3 linked regions of the Cricetulus griseus genome follow. The protein of the gene in region 3 interacts with the protein of the main gene of each other region in a biochemical or structural test. Links are inferred from orthologs where the notes say so. Each region holds a gene or a part of one and is shown on either strand. Other genes may lie near its edges.

Evidence for each region.
Region 1: the proteins of Ubxn2b (region 3) and Ppp1r7 form a complex in vitro, tested with the Homo sapiens proteins (2 studies listed by BioGRID). The link is inferred for Cricetulus griseus from reciprocal best matches to the Homo sapiens genes UBXN2B and PPP1R7.
Region 2: the proteins of Ubxn2b (region 3) and Ppp1r11 form a complex in vitro, tested with the Homo sapiens proteins (2 studies listed by BioGRID). The link is inferred for Cricetulus griseus from reciprocal best matches to the Homo sapiens genes UBXN2B and PPP1R11.

What each region holds. Positions count from the first base shown.
Region 1 is NC_048595.1:444,807,651-444,817,476, reverse strand, and holds the start of Ppp1r7 (protein phosphatase 1 regulatory subunit 7), read right to left. Parts: upstream 4,847-9,826; 5' UTR 4,714-4,846; coding exon 4,662-4,713; intron 2,007-4,661; coding exon 1,878-2,006; intron 1-1,877. UniProt on the Homo sapiens protein: Regulatory subunit of protein phosphatase 1.
Region 2 is NW_023276806.1:228,770,721-228,780,582, reverse strand, and holds Ppp1r11 (E3 ubiquitin-protein ligase PPP1R11), read right to left. Parts: upstream 6,604-9,862; 5' UTR 6,446-6,603; coding exon 6,377-6,445; intron 4,915-6,376; coding exon 4,806-4,914; intron 4,477-4,805; coding exon 4,274-4,476; 3' UTR 3,324-4,273; downstream 1-3,323. Other genes in the region: Rnf39 (RING finger protein 39), read left to right, coding at 488-510, 722-813, 2,058-2,638; Polr1h (DNA-directed RNA polymerase I subunit RPA12), read right to left, coding at 8,850-8,874. UniProt on the Homo sapiens protein: Atypical E3 ubiquitin-protein ligase which ubiquitinates TLR2 at 'Lys-754' leading to its degradation by the proteasome.
Region 3 is NC_048595.1:154,302,747-154,312,574, forward strand, and holds the start of Ubxn2b (UBX domain-containing protein 2B), read right to left. Parts: upstream 4,648-9,828; 5' UTR 4,586-4,647; coding exon 4,502-4,585; intron 1,698-4,501; coding exon 1,594-1,697; intron 1-1,593. UniProt on the Homo sapiens protein: Adapter protein required for Golgi and endoplasmic reticulum biogenesis. Involved in Golgi and endoplasmic reticulum maintenance during interphase and in their reassembly at the end of mitosis.

The sequences.
Region 1 (9,826 bases), about 290 Mb from region 3:
GAATAGAGTTACCAACTGGAACAAATTTCTGAGTGTATCATAGTTGTAATTTCTAAATTAGGGATCTAGGGACATAGCTCAGCTGTAAAGTCTTACATAGCAGGTGTGAGGAGGCCCTGGGTTCAATCCTTAGTACCGAAAGGAAAAAAAGGGGGGTGGTTCTGGGAGACAGGTTAGTTAGTGAAGGGTTTCTGCAAGCACAGGAACAACACCTGACCTGTTTTCTGGAATCTATATGCACACATACATTTCACAAATGTGAACATGTGCACACACACACGCGCACACACACACACACACAAACACACACACACACACACACACACACACACACACACACACACACACACACACACACACGTTAGGAAAAATAGGAAGGTAATGATGGACATGTTTGAATATTTTACACTGCAACTTAAGTAAACGTAAGTGTGAGTGAGCAGTTCCAGTTTCCTTAAGGAGGAGAAATACATGTTCCCAGAGAATTACTATATATCTAGCAAGAACATGGACTTCAAGCAAGCTGGGCTCTAGCCCAAGTGGCCTGCCTTGCAGTAGGGATCTCTGGCTGACATGGGCCTTTCCCTCTCCTCACCTATCACACATTAGAGTCAGACCTCTTACAGCAGTTACCTAGCACAGTAACATAGCCAGCCAGGAAAGGACGCTCAGGACCACGGCACTCTGGTTTCCAAGACTTCCAGGTAGCCTAACTCTTCAGTGGCGCACACCTCAGCCTTTCTGTGACTGAGTCAAATGATGACGGCAGAGCCCTTGCTCTATGCACCCACATCACCCCCAGAATACCAGCTCTGAAGTTCCAAACTTGTGGTGGGTACTTTTTGTGGTAATCTCCTTTTGCCTTAAAATTTGGTTACCATAGTTACCAATCATCTTTGCTGGCACACAGTGCACAGTGCTATTTTAAAAAGTAGCTATGTTTTTACAAATTTATTTTTATAAAGGTAATGCATAATTATGAATACCTGAAAAATCCATACAAATCTGGAAAGTGTAAGAGGCAGCTTCCCCTCAAGCCTGCTGTTGAAAGAGATCCTCAGCAATGCTACTGTGTTTTCTCTTTAAGCAGGTACAACTAAATACTCATGCTTTCAACTAAAAATCATATTGCAAGATACACACTACATAGAAATCCCCCGCCCCAACAATTCAGCTGGGACATTTCTCGGTGGTTATATGTTTTCTGTCGTTCCTTTCCATGTAAACTGATTTACTGAGCAAGCACATTAGCACAGGCCATTACTGAGGAGGGTATAAAACCATCACAGGAAGCTGTTTAGTTCCCAATGGAGTGATTTTCCAGTGAGTCTCAGGCCTATATTAACATCAAGGTGGTTGTGGGCATAACAAGCATACACCCGTAATCTGAACATTCAAGAGGCAGGCAGATCTCTGAGCTTGAGGCCAGCCTGGGCTATATAGTGAGATCCTGTCTCAAAAAAGCAATGTTGAGGTTGGATCAGAAATGATTTCTTATCTTTGTGGCAGGATACATAAGTATAGCAGTTAACCACCACATTATTCTCTTCAGATTTTGTTTTCTGAGTAAAGGATTTAAAAATCATTTTCTGTTTCCGCTTTGGTGCTAATCATCACCTAGTGCCAATGTCATCAGCTGTAGTATTGTCCCTTCAGCAGAAATGGATCTGCTGCACCCATAAATGTAAATCAGCCAGTTGATGAGGCAGTACCCCAGAGAGCCGGCTGCCCTCTGCCAGCATGCCCAGCTGCCCAATCTACTGGGACCTTTGAAGAACACAACTACTCCTACAAGGAGAAATCATGTCAAAGCAGCAGCAATCTTAATAGCACACTTCCCACTATATGGGGAGTTCAAGGTTAACTATGCCCAGTACCTTCTGGGTCCTCCGTCTCCTGTTCCACTCCATCCTTCAGACTCTGCTCACTGAGGTCTGTCACGATGCCACCGATGTGCCTCTTCCCTTCCTCATCACCTGATTCTTCAGATTCAACCCGCCTGTCGACTGAACCCATACACGTCAGTGAGAATTCACATCCACTTCATTCGACAATTTGAGGAATATAGAACAGATTAACACAAGTTGTAAGTCAGCAAGACTTCTTTCTGAAATAGTTAAATTCAGTTGACATGAACATTTGAATGTCTTCTATGTCCCAACATTACTTAAGATATAGAGACAGGAACCAGGAGGCCACGTGGGCACAATTGACATGCTGTCCTTTCCCTCCAAGAGCTTGTAAAGAACTGCCAAGTGTTCTAAAAGCCCCTGGACCTGATCTGGGATCAGGAACACTAATGGCACCACATAGTGAAGTACCTTCCAGGTGGCTCTCACATTTGACCTGATATCCACCACAAGAACAAGAGGGAACCACTGTGAACCTTCTGCCATATACCTACATCAACAACAACAACAAAAAGACCAAAACTGGTTCAAATTATAGGCCCACATTCTGAAAGCAATCAAGACTAGCTAAAATCAGACTGTGGGCAGGGAGGAGCTCCAATGAAAATGAGGATGTATCAAAAGTGCCAAATGCCCTAGGTAAACTGCTGATGTTAAAGGATCACAGGACAGAGTGTTAGCAATGCAAAGCTTTTTAGAGTAAACAAACAGGTTTTGAGTTACGAAGAAAGCAACAATGAAAGGTGGCTTTGGCAAATGATCTTCCTAAACCTCAGTATTCATATCTGTAGAAGAGTTTGTGGAGTACCTCCCCGCCGTCAGGACCAAAAGAGAAAGGGCACAAGAGTGGCTCGGGTGCATGACATGTAGAATGTATGCATTCCCAAGAGACACAGGACCAGCTGTGATCCAGGATTAGGGAAACTAGGTTCTGTTTGGTATTTGCATGGCCCCCAGGAGGACCCAGAAGACAGAAGGGACAGTTGGTGCAACCTGTGCATCTATCCTCAGGACAGCAGAAAGGTTCTAGAGCATGGGGCAGTGTGCAAGAAGGTGACTGTGTGGCCTAGGTATGACAGGCTAGCAAAAAGGCCATAAAATCAAGAGGAGGAAGGTTTGAGTTATGGTATTGGCTGTGATAGAGAAGGTGACAAAACAGGTAGCTCACTGAGCATGGTGGCACATTCCTTTAATCCCAGCACTCTAGCAAACTGATGTGGGTGAATCTCTATGAGTTCTAGGTCAGCCTGGTCTATAGCAAGCTCCAGGCCAGCCAAAGCTACATAGTGAGACCCTATCTTAAACAAACAAACAAAAAGCCAAAGCCAAGCCAAACCAAAAAGAAAAAAAGAAAAAAACAAAAAAACATCCAAACCCACAAAATACACCCACAAAAGACATGGGGCTCTGGAAACTAGGTGTCAGCTGGCAGTGACATGTGTGGGAGTGGCAGAGAGGAAAGCCTGGCTTTTGTATTTGCCCTTTACTGAAAAACAGAGGAAGAAGGGGAGGAGGGTACTGTAGGAGGGAAGGGGAGAGGAAGAAGCATTTTCTTGCTTAGAAAAGATTCAAAGGCAAAATAAAACTAAAAAAAAAAACCCCAAAACACAAAACAAACCAGTATGACTCCCTTTAAGACTCTCCAAGACCTTTTCTAGAAAGTCTCACCGTCTCTTCCCAACCCCCACCTCATATGACAGTTTATTTAGGTCAAATTCTTCCATACTCCTTTGCTTCTGACTGGGTTTCCATTCTGGAATGGTATTGGTCCTCCCCACCTGTCCCCAGTCTGGATGACTTCTAGTGATCCTTCACGGCCCAACTCAGGGCAGCATGGCCACTCCCAAACACACTGGACTTTTCTTCCACGCCCATGCCCCTTGCTCTGCAACCCTCTTCACTAGTGACTGCGTGACTGCTCTTCCAGAAGTAACCCTCACCGAAATACAGAGCAGTCTTTAAAAGGCATTCAAGGGTTCAGATCTGCCTGATGCTACAATGGGTATAGGAGTGTGTCTCTATATATGCACATATACGCACACACACACCTATATGTACACATAAATACACACGATTATGTATCTACACAACTGTGTACAAAACAAGCACATGTGATATATATATATATATATATATATATACATATATATATATATATATGTACTTATATATGTATATAATGACACAATCCAACAGTGAAAAAAAGGAAGAAAGTTGAATTTAGTCCTTTCAAGACTCTGAATATGTAGAAAACAAGGCACCGCCTGGTAAACGCAATCAGCGGACCTCCTTGTTACCCATCGCTCTGCCACAGGCTATTCGCTTCCAGAGCAGCCTCTTTCCATGCATGCCGCGCGAACAAACTATGGACTTGGCAGGTCCACACGCCCGAAACCTCGGTTTCCCAAGGAGCTGACAGAGGACAGTCCCCCTGCCCCCTCGCCTGTCAATCTCGGAGCTTCTAGATTAGGTTCCCACGGCCGCGGCTTCCTCGCCCGCCCCCCTTTGCTGGCCGAGCTCGCGCCACGTTGTTCCCGGGGCTCTGGTCCTTCCTGACCGCAGCCGCCCTCGGGCCGGGGCTCCCGGGCTCCGAGCCCCCCCCCCCCCGCCCGCCCCTTCCAGTCCAGCAGGCAGCTGTCAGAGAGCCGTGGCTGCGGCCGGAGGCTGGAGGCCGAGCTCCGATCCGGCAAGAGGCCGTGCCCGCCCAGCCCCCAGCTCGCCGCCTCCTGGTCGCCCGCAGGGGCCGCTCACCCTCCATCATCTCCTGCGACTGTTGCGGCCCGCCGTCGCGCTCCGCCGCCATATTGGCTGCTCTTCCCCTTTCCGGAATCTGTCGCCTCAGGCTAAGGGCCAATCAGAACTCCCCGCCCTGTCAGCCAGCCAATAGAAGCGAGCATAGAAGCGCGAGCTGACACGCTTGCGTGGAAGCGGTGCTTCATGGGAGTTGTAGTTCCCGCAAGCCCCGGCTCCACCTGAGCTAGGCGTTTGAGGCTTGCGTGGAGTCTAGGCGAGCGGGGCGAAAGCCGACTTCCCGGCAAAGCATCAGGCAGCATGGCAGACATCTCAAGCTTGCGGGTTCGCCCACGTTACCGTGCCGACTTCGGAGGCGCGGAGGAGGTACTGCGGCCAGGAGAGCGCTACAGGCCACAGGTGAGGCAGGTTAGCCTCGTATCCCCGACCTCGGGAGCCTCGCCGATGTGTGTCAGCACCGGGGGCCGGCGGCCCTGGGAGACCGCTGTGTTCCGCGCCTGCGCGTTGGTTTACTGGCGCCACGGGCCGCTTTTTTGTCACGGATGCTCGGAGCAGGAGGGAGGGGCCGCGGTCCGGCCGGGGAGGGCACGTTCGCCGCCTGCAGCCCACGATGAACCCCCGTGTCGTCCGCTTCCGCTCACCCTCCACAGAAAAGGCGGGCCGCGCGTCGCTCACCGTTCGCGGTCCGCCGTGGGCGTAAACGGCAGCCCCGTGGCGTGGGGCAGAGACGTCGGTCTCTTTTGGCTCCTCGGAGGCGCGGTAGGGCGAGCGTCCGGCGAGTCCCTAGCAACCGTTGCGCGCGCTCTGCAGCGCGCATTCACCGAGGCCCGCCCATAGCGTGTCTGATTGGTTCTTGTCCCCTGTCACTCTGCGCGAGTCGTTCTGCGATTGGGCGGTGGGCTGGCAGCGCGCGGGATCTTCACGTTGTGAATCCGTCGGGGGACGATCGCCGGGCTCAGGTGAGACGCCAGTGTTCGGAAGAGCTTTTGCGGGTGGCGGCCGGCCAGGCGAGGTCTCACGCTGTCGTGGAGCGGTTCTGGCCCTTCCCTCGCGCGCCGCACTCCCTCCGCCCGGCCCCGGCCCCGGGTGCTGGCGGGTTCCGGCCGTTTGACCCGCGCACAGGGAGCCGCCAGCTCCGGAGTGCCCCGGCTGAACTGCAAGCTTCCCTTTTTAGGTCAGGCTAGCGGGCCAGTGAGCTCTGGGGATTCACTGATCTTCACCCCCTATGCTGGGATTGCAGGTACGTGCATCCATGCCTGGCTGTTTATGTGATTAAAGATGAAAACGCAGGTCTTCATGTTTGCATAGCAAGAACTTGTCACACAGGGACCATCTCCACAGTTCCTGTATGACTTTTAAAATAGAAGTTTGTAGCATTGACAGTTTAGCTTGAGGAATGGTATTTTTTTTCTATAAATTAAGGTTTCATAGCATTGTATGCTGAAGTGATACAACTTCGAAAAAACAAAGCAAGGTTTGGTGACACTGGCAGTGTATTAGGGAGACATAATTAGGTGTCCTGAGTTTTGTTTATAGGTTGGTTCTAAAAGCAGAAAACCACAGTGTGATCCAATCCTTATTTGCTATAGCAGGAATTAGTGCATTTAGATACCTAGAGAAGTACACCTTTGACATTAAAACTGCTACTTGAAGGAAAGTCATGCTTTCTAAAAATTCCTATCTCATACATATCTTTATTTTGTTTGAGACAAGGTGGGGTTATATAGCTTTGAATGCTCTATGTAGCTACTTTTTCTTTTTCTTTTTCTTTTTTTGTTTTTTTGGGACAGGGTTTCACTATGTAGCCCTGGCTGTCCTGGAACTCATTTTGTAGATCAGGCTGGCCTCGAGCTCAGAGATATGCCTTCTCTGCCTCCTGAGTGGTAGGACTAAAGGCATGTGTCACCACTGCCCGGCTGCTACTTTTATTTCATATTGCACTGTTGCTTTTTAGAATTGCACACTGAGTGTATGTGCCTGTGTATGTAACATGTAAAATAATGAAGTAAATAGTAATTACACATTATCAGTCAGTGGTAGAGGGTTTGCATAACATGTGGATAGCTCTGAGTTTAATACTCACTCACCTCCATACAAAAATAACAATTGCCAGGCTGATGGTGCCTTCCTGTCTTCCCAGCACTTGCAGTGCTTCTGGAGACCTTGCCTCAAAAAACAAAAGTAAATAAAGCCCAACAGTTTGGACTCAGCAATTTGGCTCAGGGGGTAAAGGCACTTGCCGCCAAAGGCTGACAGGGTTTGATACCTGGGACCCACATGGTAGAAAGAGAACTGACTTTCTGAAAGTTGTTTTCTGGCCTCCACACATAGGCACTCTCTCTGTCTCTGTCTTTCTCTCTGTCTCTCTCTCTGTCTCTGTCTCTCTCTGTCTCTGTCTCTCTCTCTCTCTGTCTCTCACACACTCACACACTCACATTTAATAAAAATACATTGCATCATTATGAAATAAATTGAGGACTGGAGAGATGGCTCAGCAGTAAAGAACACTTACTGGGCTGGGTTGTGTCGGCTCACGTCTTTAATCCCAGCACTCAGGAGGCAGAAGCAGAGGCAGACAGATCTTTGAGTTCGAGGCCAGCCTGGTCTACAGATCAAGTTCCAGAACAGGTTCCAAAGCTGTAGAGAAACTCTGTTACGGAAACAAACAAAAAAGAATACTTACTATTTTGTAGAAGACCTGGGTTCAGTTCCCAGCATCTACATGGTGACTTATCTGTCTGTAACTCCAGTTCCTAGGAATCTGATGCCTCTTCTGAGTTCTTCAGGCTCCAGCACACACACACACACACACACACACACACACACACACACACACACACACACACACACACACACACACACAGAAGTATTAAAAGAAATTAAAACAAACACATTTAAACCCAATTTAGGAAGTAGAAGGCTGTCCCATTTTGCCTCCTAATTTTAGTTCTCTTCCAGATTCAAGGGAACCATCTTTCTGAAGTCTGGGTTTTCAGTCTTGTTAAACTGTTTTTTTAAGCAGTGTGTTTAGGTTTTTTATATTAAAATAAAGGAATCTTGTTATATGTAATCTTTTGTAGTGGGAAGGTTCTCATGTCTTATATTGCTAAGATTCATTCTTTTTGTTTGTTGTTTTTGTTTTTTTAAGACAGGGTTTCTCTGTGTAACAGTCCTGGCTGTTCTAGAACTCACTTTGTAGACCAGGTTGGCCTTGAACTCACAGAGATCTGTCTGCCTCTACATTTTGAGTGCTGGGATTAAAAGCAGGTGTGTTCCTGGTTTAAGATTGGTTCTTGTACAATTCCTTGTTTTCACTGCTGATTATACCATAGCTTTCTTCTTCATGAGCATTTAAGTTTTATTTTCTTTTTGCTGTTCTTTCTTCTCTCTCCCTTCTTCCCTTCTCTCCTTTTTGCCTAGGTACCTGCCTTTCTTCCTGACTGGTTTACCAGCCCTTGCCTTTGTCAAACCATGCTGGCCCGAATAGTCCTTGTCTATCTTGCTGCTTATGTGGATAGCTTTCTCTAAATTGGTCCCTGCAATGTACCCTCTCAGGAAGTTTTCCTTCTCAGTTGGTTTGAAGATAGCATATTTGTGGAGGCCCATAGAAATGGCTTCCTTCCGTCTTGACTTAGGTCATTGAGTTTGAGCCTATTACTGCTCCTTCAGGTTATACCACAGGATGTTTGGCCTAAGGAGTAGTTATTGTATGTCTTACCTAAACAACTGAATATTTGGTTTAGGGTGTGGTTACTTGGTATTTTGGGTGTTAAGGAGGTAATTACATTTGTTTGTTCCTTGTATTCTGGTAAGGAAGTCTTTTGCCTTCCCCTCTTTTGATTGGGGTATATAAGAACTTGGAGCAATAAACTTGGGGCTGATCACGGTATTTGCTGGATGCCCTCCTGACTCTGTCTTCTGTTTCTTATCTATTTCTTTCCTCAATCCACACTCCTCCTATCAAACAGGGGTAAGTCTGCTGGACTGGACACATATTTGATACATGTAATTCTGAAAACCTTTCGGCCTGTGTTTGGCATTCTTTGCTTCTGAGAAGGTTATTAGGACATAATATTTTGTGGAGTTGGGGTCACATTGGCTCTCTACTGGAGTCTCTGTCCTGTTTTAGGGGTTGTAAGATAGCTTTCCTCTGATTTCAGGTCTTTTCATTTTTACCTTTTGGAAGTTCTTCCTTCCAATGTCTCAGAGATGTATGGAATGGCATTCTTGGTGAATGCTGGGTGTTACAAAATAAATGGGTTGCTCAGACCGTGCTCCTAACCTTGACTTTTCCTCTTTCTTTCTTTCTTTCTTTCTTTCTTTCTTTCTTTCTTTCTGGATCAAGGTTCACTTTATTTGTATTTTAATTTTGTTATTATATGTGTATATGGTGTGTGTGTATGTATGTATGTATGTATGTATGCATACACAGGTGTGTATGGAGGTCCACAAGGGGAAGTTAGAGAACAACTTTGTGGAGGTGGCTTTCTTGTTCCATTTTTATGTGGATTCCAGGGATTATGCTCAGGTTATCAGGCTTCCATGACAAGCACGTTTATCTGCTGAGCCATCATGCTGGCTCTGACATTGTCTTGAATTTTTTTTTTTTTTTTTCCGAGACAGGGTTTCTCTGTGTAGCTTTGGAGCTATTCTGGCACTCGCTCTGGAGACCAGGCCGGCCTCGAACTCACAGAGATCCGCCTGCCTCTGCCTCCTGAGTGCTGGGATTAAAAGCGTGTGCCACCAACGCCCGGCCTTGTCTTGAATTTTTATCTTCTGTTCTTAAATTCACCTAGAGGAAGACATAGGATGCAGTCTCACTCTAAATTATTTAACTATTTAAAACTAACACATCCCAGTAATTAAGCATTTGGTCTCAGTTCTAATTTGGCTCTTGAAATCCTGCAGGAGTACTATGGGGTGTGAGCTACTGTTATTCTCATTTTACATGGTAACTTGAAGGCCATGTTATCTGTTTGGTGCAGTTGTGCTGGGGGAGCCCTCCTGGATTTCCCATGTATGTCAGGCGTATATTTCCTGGTCTGCTGAAATTGACCATGTCCTTTGTCTGTTTATTTACTTTGTGTAGCTTCATGGGATGTCATAATGTCAGCATTTGTTCTTTCTGTGTAAGGGGTCCTGCCCTGCTGTGTTCCGGGGCTAAG
Region 2 (9,862 bases), on a different chromosome or scaffold from region 3:
AGGCCAATAAACGCCACTGAGCTTTTAAGACAAGAGGGGAAGCAGCTTTATTGTGAGGCTTTCATATAACAACTCAACTCAAGGAACATGGGTGTGTGTTCACATTTTATGGAGAAGAGATGGGCATTTGTCTGGAACACACTCAAGGATAGCACTACTGAAAGAGAGTGAGAGCGTGGGCCTGGGGGATTAACACGAGGTAAGAAGTAGTTATGTGGAGGCCGAGGAAGGGAGAAGAACCCTTGGAGGATGGAGTCAGGAGCATGAAGAGAAAGTGATTTTGGAGTGAGCAGAACAGAAGGCCATGGAAGAAGACGGGAGAGCAGAAGAGGAAAATGCAGCAGAGGGAGGAAAGGGACATCATTTTAAGAGGTGGGAGGGTATCAACCACTCAGAGGGTATCAACCCTCCCCTGAGGTGGAGGGGAGGATCCTCCAGGGTGAACCTGATGCTCACACCCATGTTGTTTTTCTTCTGCCCATACCAGGATATGAGGAAGACATGGAGACGGTGAGTTCCATTTTTACCGTTTCTTCCTTTCAACTGCCTGCTGCCATAGCCATCACCTCCTCTCCAGGGCCAGATCTTTGTCTCCACTTACCAATAGGCTTTCTGGAGTATAGCCTCACCTGTTTCTGTTGAGAGCAAGTGGGTTAGGATTGGGGTCATCCGAACTAGCATCAAGACACAAGAATGCTGACAACTTCCTTCATTTGTCCAGATTTGATGTCCCAACACCCAAGTCATCTAACTCAGGGGAGGAGCTACCTGAAGATTACCCTGTGGTAAAGAACATGCTTCACAGACTGACAGGTGAGGAGGGAAGGGAAGGGGAACGTAATGTGTGCTGTTTGCTTCCTTTCAACTGTCAGAAATGGTGAAGCCCCTTTTGGTATCGGTTTTGATGTCCTAGGGCTGAAATAACAAAGTGCCAACAACAGGTGAACTGAGCAACCATCCACACCTCAAAGTATAGAGGTAGAAGTGTGAGGGCTCAGGAGAAATCTGTTGCATGCCTCTCCCCTGGGTTCTGGAAGCCTCAGCACTCCTTTGGCCCATATATAGTCTTACCTGGGGTTCCTTCTGTGTGCCTTGTCTGTGTCTCAGTGTCTCCTCTCCCCTTTAAGGTAGTGGTCATACTGCATCAGGGCCCACCCGAATATTGGTCTCAGTATTTACCTGATTCCCTTTGTGAAAATACTTTTCCCACGTAGAGTAAATTCAGAAAGTTGGGTAACAAAAGTGAAACTTCTCCAGTCTTTTTAAACAGTGTCTTCCTGTGTCTCCCAGGCTGGTGTAGAAGTCAATCCCTTCCTTCCTGTCTCTGCCTCTAACCTTCCTCTAATGTGCAGAGGCTACAAGTATGTAACACCACACCTGGCGGGACGCAGGATTAAACTCAGAACATCATCCTTAATTCCTCAGATCTCGGCCACTTTCCCTCATCCTTTTGTGGACACCTAAACGGTACCCGATCGCTCTCAGGAACCCCTGCTTCTACCCTCTCCCTTTGCTCTTGAGAAGGGTCCGGAGAGTCCAGTATCTCTTACCCCTTTGCCCATTCCCAAGTTAGCTCTCCATTTGTTTTTAAAGTGCCTGGAGAAGATGCTCTACCCCTTAGTCACACATTCATCTCACTTAATCCAAATTACTTCTAGCTCCTAATCCAGAAGTGTTTCCTTAAAGCTCCCCTCCCCCACTCCCACACCTATAAAGTCAGTGGCTCTTTCTGGTCCCTTTGGCCATCTCTGTCTCTCCTCTGGCTGCATCTCCTATAGAAACGGGCCTGTCCCTTCCTGCCTCTGCGAGGGTGAGTGGCCTGGTTTTACTGGATACCTTAGAGTCCTCCCTTTGCCCCTCCTTCAATCACTTTGGTTCCTATCAGGTTTCAGCCTCCCTCAGAAGTCTTGCTGACCTGGCTCCTGCACCCCACCCAGATGCTTAGATTCAAGGGTTTATGCCTTTTGTTTTGTTCTTAAGACAGGGTCTCTTCTCCACCCTTCTTGGCCGGACTCAAGAAACTTATCATGTGGTGTTCCCCGGCCTCTCTTTTGCAGCTGATCTGACACTTGACCCTCGCACTGCACACCGTGGTCTGCTCATCTCCTCTGACAACCGAGGCGTGAGTCTGGCTCCACCTGGAACGCCAGAGCCGCTGGACAGCCCTGCCCGCTTCGATCAGCTCCTAGCCGTGCTGGGTGCCCAGGGCTTCGCGTCAGGCCGCCACTGCTGGGAGGTGGAGACCGTGGAGGGCGCGTCCTTCAGAGACTCTGCCTCGGAGAATGAGGATGCAGGAGAGAGCTGCTATGCCGTGGGCGCGGCCGGGGAATCGGTGACGCGCAAGGGCCTCATCAAGCTGTGCCCATCCGAGGCTGTTTGGGCCGTGGAGGGCCGTGGCGGCCGCCTATGGGCACTCACGGCCCCAGAGCCCACTCTGCTAGGCGGAGCCAGGCCCCCGCCTCAGCGCATTCGCGTGGACTTGGACTGGGAGCGGGGCCGTGTGGCCTTCTATGACGGCCGCTCACTGGACTTGCTCTTCGCCTTCCAGGCGCCCAGACCGCTGGGGGAGCGGGTCTTCCCGCTGCTCTGTACTTGTGATCCCCGCTCCCCACTGCGCATCGTGCCTGGAGAAGGCTGAGTGTCTGGGTTCCCTACCTCCTACCCTAGTTTAGCCTGGAGGCTACTTCTCTCTGGTGCAGAAATCTCCACCTATTTCAGTAATCTTGTCCGTACACCTGTCGCAGCAGGAGCATTAATAAGCACCCTTTACCCACTCACATTCTTTCTCCCACAGCAAGACCTCAAAATGGCTTGTACATCCGTGCCTTTAAGCCAGTCTGGTCCTGCGTCTCCATGCCCAAACCCAACCTTTTCTTTGAGTTCCCTTTCTGTACCGTTCCAGGCAGGGATAGGGAAAGGCTCTATACCACCAGTACTGGGAAACAGTCCACATTTATCGCCAATCATAAAGGGCTAGGGCCTGATCCACAGTAGGAAGGCTGGAGCCTGAATTCCCCTCAAGAAAAATAGGTCCTCCTAAAATAAGATGATCAACTCATAACCTAAGCCCTTCAGACCCAAAACCTAAAATATAAATTTTGGGATGTGTATGCAAGCTAGTCCACCCTCTATACTTCTTCTATGACTGTTTTCTATGCTCATAGCCTCTTCCCTTTAAACATCCTCTTGGAAATCCATCTTGCACACAAAAGAACCGACGGTGCTACCCCCCTTCTCAATCTGGGAGCAGTCCAGGCATCCCAAACATCCTTGTATAGTTTCCCATCCTCCCCATGTGTATAAATGGACCTGTATTTAACACATTGCGCAATGTTGGGTTATTTATTTTGTGCATCTGTGGCAATAAATGAGATCTCAGTGGTGGTATGGGTTTTGCTGATCTCTGTACTGTGCACAGCTAGAGGCCTGGAGGACAATACCCAGATCCCAGCACCAGTTGGGGAGGGCTGAGAGAGCAAGACACCTGGGCTGGCAGAGACATCAGGCAGGAAAGGGTAGGAGTGTACTGCAGGGCCTGTTCCCTCATCTCTGCTTTCTCCCTCTTTCCTTTAAGGGACCCAGGCCCCTTAGACAACAGCGATGAAGCTCAAAGATTAAAGGCTGAGAAACTTGTAGGCTCTAAGTCATTGGTCTCAGCCAGCTCAGAAATGCTATATTCAGGTCATGACTATTTTTGGGGTCCACTTTCCATTATAGGTTCTGACCCTTTTGAGGGTCAGAAGGGGTAAGAGCAGAACCCTATGGTGTCCCCAAAACCTTAGATTCCCACAGGCAAGGACTAAGATTTAGGATAACTTCGTAAGTGGAAGAACTGTAAGCCAGGATTAATATGCAGAGCTGGGGTGCAATATTGCTTGGAATCTGACTGGGGTCCTGGCAGTGAAAGCTGGGATGGTTGAAAACCCAATTTAAATGCTTGGGACTCAAGCTAAGGGTGCAGGTGGCCAAGATAACTGGATCCCAGGACAGGTGTTTTGGCAGTGAGAACAAAAGGGACAGACTGAGACCAAGATGCCTGAATCCCAGGCACAGAGCAAACTGTAGGGAAGGAGAGGCTGGGAGAACCCAGAAGCCTGGGTTCTGGAACAGCAGCAAGTCAGAATTCCAGGATCTCTATCCACCCTCCTCTTCCTCTTCTCTATCAGGCAGGAGAGGGAAGGAGGGGGCAGGAGAAGGGATCAGACCATGGGTTGAATCCCCATGTAGCCAGATGGATACATTTGGGGCCAGGCAGACACATGGTGAGAGGGATTTAGTGCTGCATAGGTCCTGGAGGGGGCTGAGATGGGTCAGGAGGCTGGGGGGGAGTGGTTGGAGTGGGTCCTGGGGTTGAATGACGCCGTCCTTTGCGGTGACCCCGCACACAGTGTGTGTGACCACAACCTTCTTCTTCATCCTCCTCACTCTCGGTGGAGCTCTCACCAAAGGCCCGAGGTTTCTCATAAATACAGCAGCCTAGATGTAGGGAGAGGAAATCAGTTAAGAAGGATGAGGAACACAATGTCCAGTCTGTTTCATTTCCAACAGATTTATGTGCAATTTTTCTCCCACCTTCCAGAATCCATGCCCCTTAAGCCTCCCACCCCAGGGACTCTGGCATCCACACTCTTTGTCTCTTCAGAGACCCAGAAGCATCTTTCTCCCACTCCGACATGGCTTGCTCCACAGACTTGGCAACTCTTAGTTTTAGCTCTATCCCCATCTATTTTCTTTCCCAAGAAAGTAAAGAGAACCGTAAAGGTCTGGGAGGCAGTGGTGAGGGCTGCTGGGGCAACAGCACTCACATTTTGATGAGCGGCGCCCCATGTGTTCATTGTCCACAGTGTCACTTGTCCATTCCACCTTTTTCTCTGGCTTCCGTTTCCGAAGTTTAATGGTTAGGCTCCGATTCTCCTGTAAGGTTAAGAGGTATGGGCCCATCTAGCTAATCTCCTCTTGACCTTTCCTGTTTCCCAAGGTACCTCCTCTTTTCTCCTCCCTTGCTCAATCAGTACCATACACCAGGCCACTGGAGGAGCCGGGTGCTGGGAGCCAAAACAGACCATGTTTTTAACCTTTTCATGAGGAATGTGAACTCCTATTCTTGAAAACTACTAGTATGCAAAAAGGACAGTCCTTAACCTAGGGAAGGTGCCGGTAAATCTCCAAAGGAAAGCACAACCCTCCCTGTTTCTTCATCTTCCTTCCAAATCATCCTTGGTGGTGCCAATACCGGAGAGTTATTTTCTCAGTTCCCTGTGACTGGTCTTTGGCCTTCCTTCCTTTCTCCACACCTCTTACTTACGTTCCCGCTAAAGAGATTAGAAGCATGTGAGCTAAGCATATAGGAGACGGAGACAGAAGCCAACAGAAGCCAGCCTCTGCAATGTGGTAAAGCTTTTCCTTTCAAAAACAAAATAAAAATTTAAAAAATAATAATAAAGCAGGGCTTCCGAGACAGTTCTGTTGGTAAAGTGCTTCCTGAGTTTGATTCCCAAAATCCATATTTAAAAAAAAAAAGTTAGGTGTAGTGGTGGTGCATGTTTGTAATACCAGTACTGGAGATGTGAAGACAGGCAGATCTCTTGACAGCCAGTCTAGCTGACTTGGCAGCTCCAGGAAAAATGATTTTCTCAAATCAACAAGCAAAGCAAAACAAAACAAAACAAAACACACACACACACACACACAAACAGGTACACCGTGCCTGAGAAAAATCTAAGGTTGACTTCTGCCCCTGCCACACCTGAACAAGCAAAATAAAACAAAAATCCAAAACCCTTCTTCTCCAAAGAAAGCCTTCATTCTCTAACATCCTGGCATCTCTGGCAATAATTACTAAACTCCTTCAACCCAGACATTACGCCCAACCCATCTTCCTCCCCTTGAAAGCAATTTAACTTGCTTTTGCAAAATTCTACTTGTTTCCTTATTTGCGTCTCTCCTCTCTGATCTGTCAAAATACTACCTTCACCTTATTTTGTTTCCTTATTCCCTGCCCCCCACTTTAACACGCACCCATTCCATGACTATCTATTGGTTAAGTACTCGTCCTTTACGTTTGCCTCCAAAACCATGCTTTCTCAAATAGCCTTTCCTTCCCTCCCAGGACCTTCCTTGCTGCCTTAACCCAGGTTCCGTTTATTACGTACACAGACCACCGCATCAAGCCGTGACACCTATACCCTGACTGTAACGTCCCTTGACTGGTCACTATCACGATCTGAGCCACTCCAAGCATCCCCAGTCCCTGGCGATCTTCCCAAGAGTCATCCCCACATGTCCCAGATCCCAAACCCTCCAACTTTCCAAAGCCCTACTTCCCTCCCAGTTCCTCCCAGACCCCTAAATAGGCCCCCCCGCCCGCCTTTCTCACGGGCTCGGTTGTCACGGTAACCGTTGTCTCAGTGACGGTCTCACTCAGCCCGGCCCCTGCCTCCGCCATGGCTAAAGCGAAAAGCCAGGAAGCGGGATGGGACACCCTTCCCTTTTTCTGCGCTTCTGGGATCTAAGAGATCCGGTACTCGATTCAGAGTAGCGGCCAGGAACCTCTGGATTCTTATTCTTCCCTTCCTCCAGGGCCTCTGCTTCCCCACCCCTGGGCATAACCTGTCCAATCCCACTTCCGGCCTTTCACTTCCGGGTGTGACGCATCCTGCAGAACCCAGTTTCCCTTCACCGGCACGGCTCGGGCAAAAGCGCAGGCGTCGCCAGATCAGTTCCGCCGTATTCTAACACTGCGCAGACGCCGCAGGTAGCAGAAGTGACGTCACTGTGGGGCGGGGCCAGCTCCTTCAGGGCCTAAGTTCATTGGGGGAAGAGTCAACTCCGGAGCTGCGGAGCGCAGAGGATGTGCGATCTGTGTGCTCAGCACCCCTAACCCTGTCAGCTGTACCCATAAACCTGGGCGGGAAAGTAAGTGGGACTCGGCCAAGTTCCATTTTCTTATCATTCTGTCGAGAAACCGTTTTCCAGGAGCAGGAAACGCACTGGGTTCTAGTCCTCTCTCTGTAAGTCTGGGAGGGAGAGCACACTAAATTTGGAATTTTCCCAGCGTGGTAGGTCCTAAAATAAAAGTATTCCCTGTTATTCTAGTTCCCAGTTTGAAGAATACCAAGGCTAGGCTGTGGGGGGCGCCGCAACAAATTCAAAGACATCTGCTTAAATTTTGTTGAATCACTTGCAGTGATATATTATTTATGATTTATTAAAGCCTGCCTGAGGATTCAGAATCAAAGTCAGCCACAAGCCATAGAAGCCAGGCACACACCTTTAATCCCAGCAGTCAGAAGCTAGGAGGTGGTGGTACACACCTTTAGTCCTGAAACTCAGGATTAAGTGGTAGATGGATCTCTCTGAGTTCAAGGCCACCCAGGGATACATGACATTGAATCGGTCTAAAAGAGTGACAGATAACACACCTTTAATCCCAGCACTAGAGGGGTATAGAAGATAGAATCAGGGTCTTCAGGATTCAGTAGGAGGCATTCATTCTCCAGCCACACTGAGGAGAGGCAGCAGTTTGAGGCTTGGTGAAGAGCTCGTGTGTGGATCTGCCCTTTCAGCTTGAGCTTGAGGTGAGAGCTAGTGGCTGGCTGCTTTGCTTCCCTGATCTTCAGCTTGAACCCCAATATTTGTCTCTCGGTCTTTTATTTTTTTCGTGCAACACTACCTATCCAAATATTTTGTTTCCTTACAATGAGGAACTAGATTTAGATAGAATATATGCATATGTCTAACAGCTTTTTTTTTTTTGCCTTTGTAATGGTTAACATTACAATTAGAGTTACTATGCTTGAGAGACCAAAAAAAAAAAAAAAAAAAAAAAAAGCCTGTTAACGTGTAAGCCCCTAGCTTGTACAGGCTGTAACCTACCAGTCCACTCCTTTCCCCCCCCCAGATGGGGTTTATCTGTGTAGCCCTGGACATCCTGGAACTTGCTCTGTAGAACAGACTGGCTTTGAACTCAAGAGATTTGCCTGCCCCTGTCTCCTAAGTGCTGTGATCAAAGTCATGCACCACAACCACTCTGTAAAGACTATTCTTAAATTGACAGATCTTGTCAAATTTGCCATTTTAGCAAGACAATAAGTCATAAAACTAACTGCTATTTCTGCTTTTGTAATCAAACTTGCTTACTCTGCTCAATGGCTAGGACAACTGTAGGACATGTATGTTAAAATCAGACCTGCCTACACATAGAATACATGTAATCCTGCCATTTTTTGACTTTATAAGCCTTGGGCTGATGTAACTAGAAGCTACATTTTGGGAGCACTTTTGGTTGGAGTCCTTGTGCCATGAGTATCCAGTATCAGTATTTAATAAAGCCTCTTATTAAAATTTATTTATGGTCATGGTGATTCTCTTAGTGACCCCAGACACATAACAGCTTCATTCCAGACTCCATTATTTTATCCTTAGTTTTGTTGTTGTTCTTTTTTTAAAGCTATATTCTAGGTCATTTAAATTTCCTTTGGAATAAGACAGATTATTGTTATTTTTGGTTTTTAGGCATCTTGTTAGGTAGCTTTGACTGGCTTTGATTCATTATAGTAAGTTCCCTGTCCTTAAGCTTGAAACCTTCTTGCCTCCACCCTGAAGTTCTGGGATCACAGGACATATGCCACCAGCCTGGCCAGAATAAGACTACAAATAACACACATAATGCCAAGGTTCCATAGAAAATATAACTTTAGTAAATTCAACTAAGGGAAGGAGTGCTCTGGGGGTGATGATCTTATGCTGAGAACAAAGCACCAGCGGGGAAGGAGAAGGCAACAAAGGACCAATATCTTCACCTTCCAAGAGGAGGAATGGTGTTGCTGAGTTGCCAGGGAAAAAAAAGGTCAAGAATCTTCCTTTTCCTGAAACCTAGGGAGAAAGAAAGGACTTGTTATATTTAACCAAAATGAATTTCTAGCAGTGTAATATGAGATAGAAACCCCTGGAGGACTTTTTCTTATGACAGGGATGGGTAAGCTTCCTCCCAACAAACCTTCAATTCTAACCTCCAGGTAACTAATATCTAATTATTTATTACCTTGAAGTGTGAAAACTCTTTTCCAGGACAGAAAAAGCACCAGCCAAGAAAATGAAAAAGATAAACTAGACCTCATAAAAATTAGAGACGTTGTAGCTGGACATCTGTAGAACCCTACAGATGCAGGGAATGCAGCATTCACCCAGACCTTAAGAAACCAGAAGTTCAAATTCTAAAATCATAGCATACAGTCAAAAATTACAAAGTTAAGAACTACCATAAGAAAATCAGCAGAAATGACATCAGACCCACAAAAAACAGTGGCTATCAGAATTGCCACACTCAGATAAACATGTTTAGTATGTTTCATATACATTTAAAGAACAAAAGGAGCGATTTAAAATCAGTGGGAGCTGGGGAGATGGCTCAGTGGTTAAGAGCACTCATTGCTCTTGCAGAGAATCCAGGTTTTATTCCTAGCACCCACATGGTGGTTCAGAACCATCTGTAACTCCAGTTCCAGGGAATCTGAAACCCTTTTCTGACTTCTGTGGGTACCAGGCATGCACATGGTGCACTGACATACATGTAAGCAAAATACTCATACACATAAAATAATAAATGTTAAATACAGTAGTTGGAAGTTTTATAACGACTAAAGGGCTACATTGTTCAGATGATTCATGAGGTTTGAAAAGAAGTAGTAATAACCCAGGGGCTGAGGAGAAGGCTCAGCAGGTAAAGTGTCTGCTGCACATACATGAGGACTTGGGTGTGGATTCCCAGCACCCATTTAAAAATAGAGAAGATTCTGGTGTCACGGTCCCCATGTACAGAATGGACTCCACTCAAGCTGGGAGGCATGGGACAATGACAGAC
Region 3 (9,828 bases):
GAGCCAAAGGCTAAATACTCCACTACTGAATGAGTAAAACGTAGGTACAGAAACACATTAAATCTTTGAAAAATATTTTTTTGAGGGGGGGATATAGACATTAAGGAGGCAACTAAAATATTACACACATCTACATCTACTCATACATCTTGCAAGTGAGAGTTAAGTGAAAGGATAGTATAGTCAAACCATGCCGAGATACCAACCTGCTGATTACAAAGACACACTGTACCTGACAATGCAGTGATGTGGTGGTCAGCACCTTAACCAAGTGAGCATATCACCAAGAGTGGGGAAACTTGGAATTATATGGCTCCTGATGTGACATAATAAAAAGCAGACAGTGTCACTTATCTAGTACTCTTGACAAAAATGTTTAACAAGAATCTAATTATGAGGAAACAGTGATCTAGAATGTGGCACATTTTGAGACATTTGGTTCCTTTAAAAAGTTTAGATTATGCAATAAAGTTTAGATTATGTAGGTGAGCTAAAAACAGGTAAAAAAGAAGCAAGCATGCCCTGCATTCAAAACTCAACACAGGAAAACTCAAATGCAATGAGTAGTATCTAGCTGGGTCTCCAAAGGTGACTGAAAAAAGTGACATCATGTCATCACTGCTAATTTTCAGGTTATACTTTATTATTTAGGTTATATATTTTATTCTTAGGGGATGCACAGGAAGATATCTAGAAGTTGATGTCATGAAGGTATAATTTGCTTTCAGATAGTTGAGTAAAAAAGAGCCAGGATGCGTGAATGAGGGCAATGCTCTGACACACTAACAACTGGTGAATAAAAGTGAAATAGCTAATGTTTATTCATTTTCCTAACCTTTACGTTTGCTATGGGCTTTATAATTTCTAAAAGAAAATACAGGGAGAAATTATAAGGATTTTGCTTATCATTCAAGTACAGGAAGATATAATTTTTGTCTCCCCTACAAAAAGAATGTGAAGTGACAAAAACCTAATGTCCACTTAATTTTTCTACTTTTGACAAAATTATATTTTTGAGAATGAGAGATAAGAAAATTTAAGTTTGCTCTCTACTGTAATACTAGAAAACTCAACAAAAATATTCACAATAACAATATATGTGATTCTTCTAAACCTCTAGTTTGTTGTTTTTATAGTTCAGAGATCTTAATGACAACAAATACATCCAGGAAGTCATCTGTTAGACTAGGTATCACATCACAGAAACTTCAGGATTTACAGATTCTTCAATGGGGGACTAAAGACTCCTATAGGTCCCGTGCATGGCAGTGAGAAACCCGCTGGCCCTCAACTGACAGACTGCACATGAATGCTGCTTTGGAAGGGTCTGCACATTTCACCAGAGCTCAGTGAGCCCGAGGACAAACATTAAAGAGCCATCATGTCTGAGAAAAAGGATTGCATATGGTGCCTATGATAATATCAGACACCAAGGTAATTCTTCAAAATATTTCTTTTAGCTAACTATAAAAATTTTGCAATAGTACCTCCATATCTATTTTTTAAAAATTAATTTTAAAAATCCTCAAGGTCATTTAAAATAGTTTAGGCTCAGTGGGCTAAAGAGGGTAGAAGTCTGGGGGCAACACTCACCGATGCGGCAATGTTCTTGGGCTCTTAAAGGCTGCAGCTGTAGATTTGTCAGGCTTGGAAGACTTGCATTTCACTTCATCTTCATATAATCCTGCCAAGGCCAACTACACATAACAACAGGCTTGTTATTCAGTTAGCAATGGAAACAGACTTCTAGACAGCCAAGGAACAGGTACCAGCTTGAAACTGAGCATTAACAATTTTCTATGAAAAACTGAAGGCTGTTGCCACAAACGTTGTCTTTCCAAAACGAGCAACTCCCGAAGTCTCACACTATTCTATTATTCAAACTGCCTTGGGCCAGAGAAAATTTGTTATGATAATTCTTTTAATTAACTATTCAACAGTTTCAAAAACTGAGTTTGGCAACACAATGGTTTCACATTTGGATCTGTGTAACTTCCAGCTTTTAAAGAACTTTTGAGGACAGTTCACAATATTGCCAATTTCTCTAAATCAATCTCATAATATAATTTCACTTAGCTGTTTTTAAAACTCAAGAACATAAAACAAGCTCAAAAGTACTGCTTTAAAGTTTATCAGACATAAATTTCATCAAGTTCAGAGAAAAGAGCTAAAAAAAATGAGATAACATTTAATGCAAAATTACATATTGCAGATATGTAGCTGAATACCTTCTAAATAAAGTAAAAATATATTTGTCCTTGAAACAGAATTTAAAATATTAATCTGATTATTACAGGTTCCCCCCCCCACTTTTGCTATTTGGGGCAATAATTTAAAATTTTTCAGCCTGGCATAGTGGTACATGCCTTTAATCCCAGCTCTTGGGAAGCAGAAGCTGGAGGATACCTGTGATTTTTGAGGCCAGCCTGGTCTACACAGTGAGGGGACTGTCGGGGCTGTGTAGAGAGACTGATTCAAAAGACAAGCAAAACAAAAGAAATTTCCTTAATGCTCCCCACTGGCTATTCAGTCGGTATGATTTTTGATCTTTGGTCTCCCACCCACTTTACAATCAAACAAGCCCACTCCCTCACCAAGTAACTATTTGTGTATTATTACCTCAGAAGGAAAAGATGAATAAATAAATGAGGCAAACTTAGCCAGTCATTTTCCAGGGCTGCAACCTGAACCCAGGCAGGGTCTAATGCATGATCATGTTTTTTTAAATGAAAATATAATTCCACCATCTCCCCCTTCTTCCCTCCCATGTTCATACACCCCCTTGTTCTCACTCAGCTGGATCCAAGCCTTAACTTAGGCACTTACTGTGTAAGTTCGGTGGATTACTGAACATCGCTGAGTTTAGTTTTTATGTCTTTAAATGCCTACCAAAATTTAAAGACATAAATTTAATCAGTTGAAAGATTCATGTAAGTAAAGTACAGGCACGTCCATTTCATCACCACAAGGTCTTTTTTTTGTTTTGTTTTGTTTTGTTTTTCGAGACAGGGTTTCTCTGTGTAGCTTTGGAGCCTATCCTGGCACTTGCTCTGGAGACCAGGCTGGCCTTGAACTCACAGAGATGGGACTGCCTCTGCCTCCTGAGTGCTGGGATTAAAGGCGTGTGCCACCAACGCTTGTTGTCAGTGTCCCTGTTTTCACTATCTTCCAGCACAGTCATCTGTCACCCTTCACTACTTAACAGAGCTAGAGTCATTAGAGAGGAGGGCAACTCAATTGAGAAAATGCTTCCATAAGATGGAACATTTCCTTAAGTAGTGACTGTGGGTGGTGTCACCCCTGGCTTAGGGATCCTGGGTTCAATAAGAAAGCAGTCTAGGCAAGCCATCAGGAACAAGCCAGTTAAGCAGCACCCCTCTAAGGCTTGTCTCCAGGTCTCTGCTCTGCTTGAGTTCCTATCCAGACTTCCTTTGATGATGAAGAGTGATATGGAAGCCTATGACAAATAAAATCCTTTCCTCCCCAAGTTGCTCTGGTCATGGAGCTTCATCATAGCAATAGTAACCCAGACTAAGACAACAAGTTAAGTGGCTTCGGGGTCGCCTGTAACTACCAACCAATGCTCAATACCATTATAACTTTGCACTGATTTGGTCTATTAAAGCTAGTTTACAAGCCTGTTTCAAATCTGTGGATACCACACAACAGTATCCACTACTACTTATGGATTTGATGCCTTATTTATCTCCAAATTCTCCAAAGCTTGAGCAGAAAGTTATAACAGCAAGTGGTCAGTATGTCTGGTTAAAGAATGAAGATTAGGTATTAAAAATGTTCTGTCAAGGTTTGACAATTCAGGCTCATTTATTCTTACCTTTAACCCCTAACATACCCTAACATACGTTTAATTACTCAATTTTATCAGTGATCTCATGGGGAGATAGAACAATGCCTAAAATGAGCAAGTAGTGTTAGCATCTGATAAAACAGCATTTATTTAGGGGGCAAGTGTTCAGCTGACTAATGTCAATGTCACAATATACCGAGTTTTATTTCTGTTACATTGTTTCATGGATTACCTCTTATAAGTGGGCTGTAACCACGGACTGAACTGTTTTAAGCTCTCTCCTTAAAAAACCAGAGCTTTTTGATAAGGGGGGGGGACTGTTTTTAATGTGTAAGTCTTCAAATCTGAAAGCTCGTCCAAGAGAACAAATCAACATGCGTTATTTTTAAGTTACTTTTTAAGTGATGGCTGACTTATCACAGGCCATGGTAACTCTCCAGAAGGCAGGCAGCATCAACCGGGAGCCACCTAGATGGCCCCGCAAAATGACATTCCAAACAACTACTTGGTGCACCGTGCGTGGCGAAGGGGATCCAGGTGCTGGCGCCTGCCGCTCGGGCACCCGTTTCCACGCCCCCCACCCCGCAATGTGCCTCCGGGAGAGACCTTGGCTGGTAATCATTCTCCTCAGGCGAGGTACAGCGTGGCTGTGGCCCGCGCCCTCCTGCCCGCGCCGCGCTCCTGCCTCCGTACCTGTAAGTCCCGCGCACTCGGGGGCCGTGGCCTCGAGGACCCCCTCTCCTGCTCCTCAGGGTCCGCGCGGCCGCCCTCCGCCATCTTCCACCCTCTTTCGGCGCCCGCCCCGGACTCGCGACTTCCGGGATGGTTGCTTAGCGACCTGGGAGGGGCGGAGCCTCTCGGTGACCAGCCCCTCCGGGAGGGGGCGGAGCCGTGTCTTCTTACGTCAGTCCTCGCTCCTTTCCCGCACCAGGCTGCAGTCCTTCGCTTTGGGCTTCCGGTCCTGCCAACCTTCCAGTCTTTGTTTGCAGTCACTGCCACTTGCTGGGTTGTCCTAGAGCGCAGCGTTGACTTGCTGATTCGTTTAACTCAACAGCTTCACCTTGCAAGTCTTGGTCCAATCTCTCATTTTCCCTTATCAAGGATTGGATGGTACATCCCTCCGCGTGGAACCGTGTGGAGGAAGAGGAACACAGTGAAGCTTTTGGCAATGAAATGGTGACTCTTAAGCCGCGGGATTGACTGAGTTCTTTCCTGTCTTATCCTAGGCACTTACAACCTCTCAAGGATTTCCCAGGTAGAAAAAAGAAGTCCGGTCCTCTATGAAACTTAAAAGCTAGTGAGGGAAAGACATAAACAGGTAACAGAATAAATTTGTAAATAAGCTTTGCAAACAGTATTATGGAAGGCCTGTATGTGAATGGAGAATAATCCGTTGGTACCCGCTGTGTGCATCGTGCTGCCGTACCAGCTTACAGTGTGTTGCTTTGGCATGTTCTTAAAAAAAAAAAAAGGCAAATTTTACCATCTAGAGAAGTTGAAATGGAGAGGTCTATAACAGACCTCTTAGAATTAAACCCACATCCTAGCCAATTTTGCATGATGGCCGCTGGTATGAAAATATATCCACATAGGCCTTCAGGTTCGTATGAAGACACTAGTCACATGAAAAAATTTTTTCAATAAAATTTGTGCCTTTTTCTCCTGTGAATCTATTCGGTTTCATTCTCAGGCCCAGCTGAGACTCTGAGAGTAAAGGAAGACGTCTCCTCCTCCATTTTAATGTATTCCACATGTATTTGAGCAAAGCAAATGATAGTTAAATTCACCTTGTAACTAGCAGTACAAACTACCATACCTTGTAGTGCTGTCCTGATATTCTAAATACACATTCTGCCTTAAAGGGTCCCATTAGCCGGGTGTTGCTGGCGCACACCTTTGATCCCAGCACTCGGGAGGCAGAGGCAGGGGATCTCTGTGAATTCAAGGCCAGCCTGGTCTCCAGAGCGAGTGCCAGGATAGGCTCCAAAGCTACACAGAGAAACCCTGTCTCAAAAAACAAACAAACAAAAAAAATGGTCCCATTACTTCTTTGACAAGAAATGACCCAAAGAGCCAATACCTTTTTATGTGGAGCCTTGAAGAAGTAATTCCCACAGACCTCAGATCAGGAAGGACAAGCAAAGAAAGATGTGTTCTAAGACACAGATATTGGAAGTAGCATGTCAAAAAACAAATAGTACATGGTTGTTTAACAATGGGAAAACATGGGTCAGGAGAGCCCTAGATTGGAGATGTAGGTGTGAGATAGATTCTAAAGGAATAAAATGAATAAGTGGACATCCTCATCAGGTACAGACAACTCTAACTTTATAACTTAAGTAAAACCCTGTATGTGTGTAATTGTACTTATGCCGAACATCACTGAGGTCAGGATCAGAAATGGCTTTGTTTCATCTGTTGAAAGATTTTTTTTTATCTTGATTCTAAACCGTTCCATAGAATGGAGTATAATTACCCTTGGTAAGTTCAATGGCTTGCACAGACCATGTATATTTCCTTACAATAGCCATCTGGATTAGATATTGTCTTTGTAACATGGAAGTAAGTGGGGAACAGAGAAATAAGATGTATTTTTGTGCCACTAGGTTAATAAGCCCCAGAATTAAGTTTTAAATTCAGGTGCACTATTCTCAAAAGTTCATACTTTTCTCTTGACACCATCACCACCCATTCCTCCCTCCACCTCCAGCTGTTCTGTAGCTCCTGGCAAGACTGCATCAAGTTAACTCCTCAAGGACGCCTTGCTACCTTCATTATTGTTCTTTTGGCCATACCTCAACAACATCCAGGTCCTAAGCAATGATATTCCCTCAGGTTCTGCTTTGACATTTCTTTCTTCTTTTTTCTTTTTCATTTTTTTTTGCTGTATGTGTTTTTATTGTATATCCATTCTTATGCCTGTCATGCATTTACAACTGATTCTCATTATCCACAGTTGTGTTCCACAAACTTGATAAGAACACTAAATTATTGAATACTGAATTATTGCTGTTGAGAGATGCAAGGTTATGTCCTTGGAGCCTCTGTTTATATTTATCAGCTAACTGATGCATAACCTTGCTATATGTCTGTTTCTGTGTAAAGACACCTTATTTAATATATACTATGGTTTCATTAACATTGATCTCATAGCCCCAGCACTATAATTCTTTCTTGAAGGAAGCTTGCCTAACATGTTTTCTCTTGAAGGTACATCTGCTTAGGAACACTAGACATTACTTCAGCACTGCATTAGCAGGCAGCTTTACATAGATTCCAAAGGAGAAGTGAAGCTGGATTTTCTTTCCTGCCAGCCTGGTCCTGCAGCCGCCTCAACCCCAAATAAGCACATGTAGACTTATATTAATTATAAAACTGTTGGCTGGTGTCTTGGGCTTCTTATTGGCTTGCTCTGTCTTAATTATTAACCCATTTCTTTAATCTATGTGTTTCCATGTGGTCTTGGCTTACTGGAGAACGCCTGGCATATCCTCTCTTCCCAGGCTGTCTCTTCCCAGGCTCTACATTTCCCAGAATTCTCTTCATCTCCTAGCCCTGCCTATACTTCCTGCTTGGCCAATCAGCCAATCAGTGTTTTATTCATCAACAAAGAAGAAAAACATATACTGAAAGACACTCCCATCAGAGAAGCACAGAATATGAAGGATGTGGCATTAAGTAAACTGCACAAAGGGTTACTTGTTTACAGAGGAAGAGCTGGAAAAGGCAGAGTGTCACCTTGTTTGACATCCTTTGGAAATAAATTCATTCAGCAACTTAAATATTTGCTTCCCTGAACATGTCTGTGTTTTGGGGTGAAAAGCAACTTCTATTAAGTATATAATTCTGTATATATGCACTTTTCAAATAATGCAGATTGACTGTATCTAGAGTTTCCCCGCCTATTTTTCCAGTTTTTTCTATTACTCCAGACCAACATTCCTAATTGCTTTTTCAAATTATATTTCCATTTGGATGTCTCAGAAACATTGCTGCCTCAACCCCAAACCCTCTTCTTTCTCCTCCAAACTTCCGCCTTTTGCTTCTGTTCCTTATGGTATCATCATCTAATTTCTATTGGATATTAGTCATCTGAAGGTCACTAGAACAAGGGCTCTTGAAGTAGATGTTGTGGCCAACAGCAGAAGTTTCAACATTTTTCCTAGCTGAAGTATAGCTCCAAGCAAAGTATTCTAAGCAGTGGGATTGCCAGGAGAGAGGGTATATAATTGACAGTTTCCCACCCAAGGTATCCAAGCACCAAGAAAAAAGACTGACAGGTGTCAGTCAGAAGGTGAGGTTTTAAGAATATATAGGACTGGCTTTGAGAAGGGTGAGGTGTGGCTTGAATGGAGAGGATTGGAGAGATGGGCTGAAAATGATAAAAATGACCATAAATGCAATGCTAAATGTTTGGTTCTTATTTCTACCAAAATATCTAGAAGAATCAAAGGGTTTGGTGGATAAAAGCTAATCTTTGCATTTTAGCATTAATACTTGCATTGACCAGATCAACAGAAGGCAAGACACAACTCTGAGGAGTGCCATAAGCATTTGGAGGCATCTTGTGGGTGGAGGCAGAGAGACCATGAACCAAATCAGGCTTGTGATGGGATGGAGGTGGGATGTGGGCTCAGTGCTTCAGCACAGTTAGACCAGGTTTATTCTTGAAATATTCTTTGTGAAGATAGTGTATGTTGTTGGCATGATGACTATTTAAATCTTAAGTTTTGATGTCTTCTTTTTATAACAATTAAACCTGACTGCATGCTTATCTAACCCTGACTCATGCATCTTTGAGACAGGGCCTCACTAGGTTGCAAGTCTTGGTCTTGAACTCCTAGGTTCGAGCAATCAAAGCTAGTCCCAGAATTGAATTACAGGTGCCTATCAGCATGCCTGATTTCTATATTACCATACTTGATTGGTGATTTCAACATATGAGTCATATAACAATCTGTTTATGTTAGCTACTCTGAAATTTGTAAAGCTTTGGGTTCACTTTTTCTTGCATCTTTGCTGTATAGTGAACATTTTAAAAGGATATTATTGAGTCTCTGGATTATGTCATCTTTCTCAGGAAAGGGCTGCCATTTTCCATTAGTTCTAAGATGTATCTACTTGTCTTAAATGCTGTCCTGTAGCTCTTTGTGGGTTTCTGTGGAAAATCAAGAGTGATAATCAAGGGCCTCTGAATTCCATGGATTGCATTCCAACTCTGCCTCCAGAGGGTAAAAGCCTGATCTCTCACTCTACCTTTTGTTAGTTTCCACCTGTTTTTTGTTTTGTTTTTTGTTTTGTTTTGTTTTTAACGCTAGGAACAGTTGAGGGACAGAGGTTTGTGAAATAGTCTTTCTTTCCTGCAGGATTTGGAATCCCTTCTTTTGTCTCTCAGTCACTCTCAGTCCCAGACTCTATGTATGAATCCTGAGTCCAACAAGAATGCTGCTTCCTCCTCACATTCTCTTTCTCATGTGCAAATCTGAGTGAGGGGAGCTGTTAGATGGGAAGGCATGAGTTGAGATCTACCCAGTGTGCTCCTTTCTTTGGGGGCTTATGTTCCTCCAGTTGCCTGTCTGCATGTGACTGCTGGTTGGTCCCGAGCTTGTAACTGTTGTTAGGAGATTGGTGTTATGTGACCTATTCGGACATCACTGGATCTTCAACTTCAAATTTGCTAATACTGTTTGGTTTTGCATTTATGTTAATGAATAACAGTAACCCATCCTTACACTTTCTTATAAATTCCTTGTTTGGTTTTATCACCAGGTTTATTCTGGCTTTGTTAGATATGTGGGGAGGACCCTTGAATTCTTCTTTTTTTAATCCCAAGAAAAGCTTAAGTTGTATTTCTCTTTTGTTGTAATTTTTGTTTATTTAAATATATTTTAAATTGCTCATTTTTACCTTATATGTATGTGTGATTTGCCTGAATATATTGGTATGTACTATGTGTGTGCCTGTGGAGACAGGAAGAATTCGAGATCCTGTGGTGCAGACAGCTGTGAGTGAACATGAGA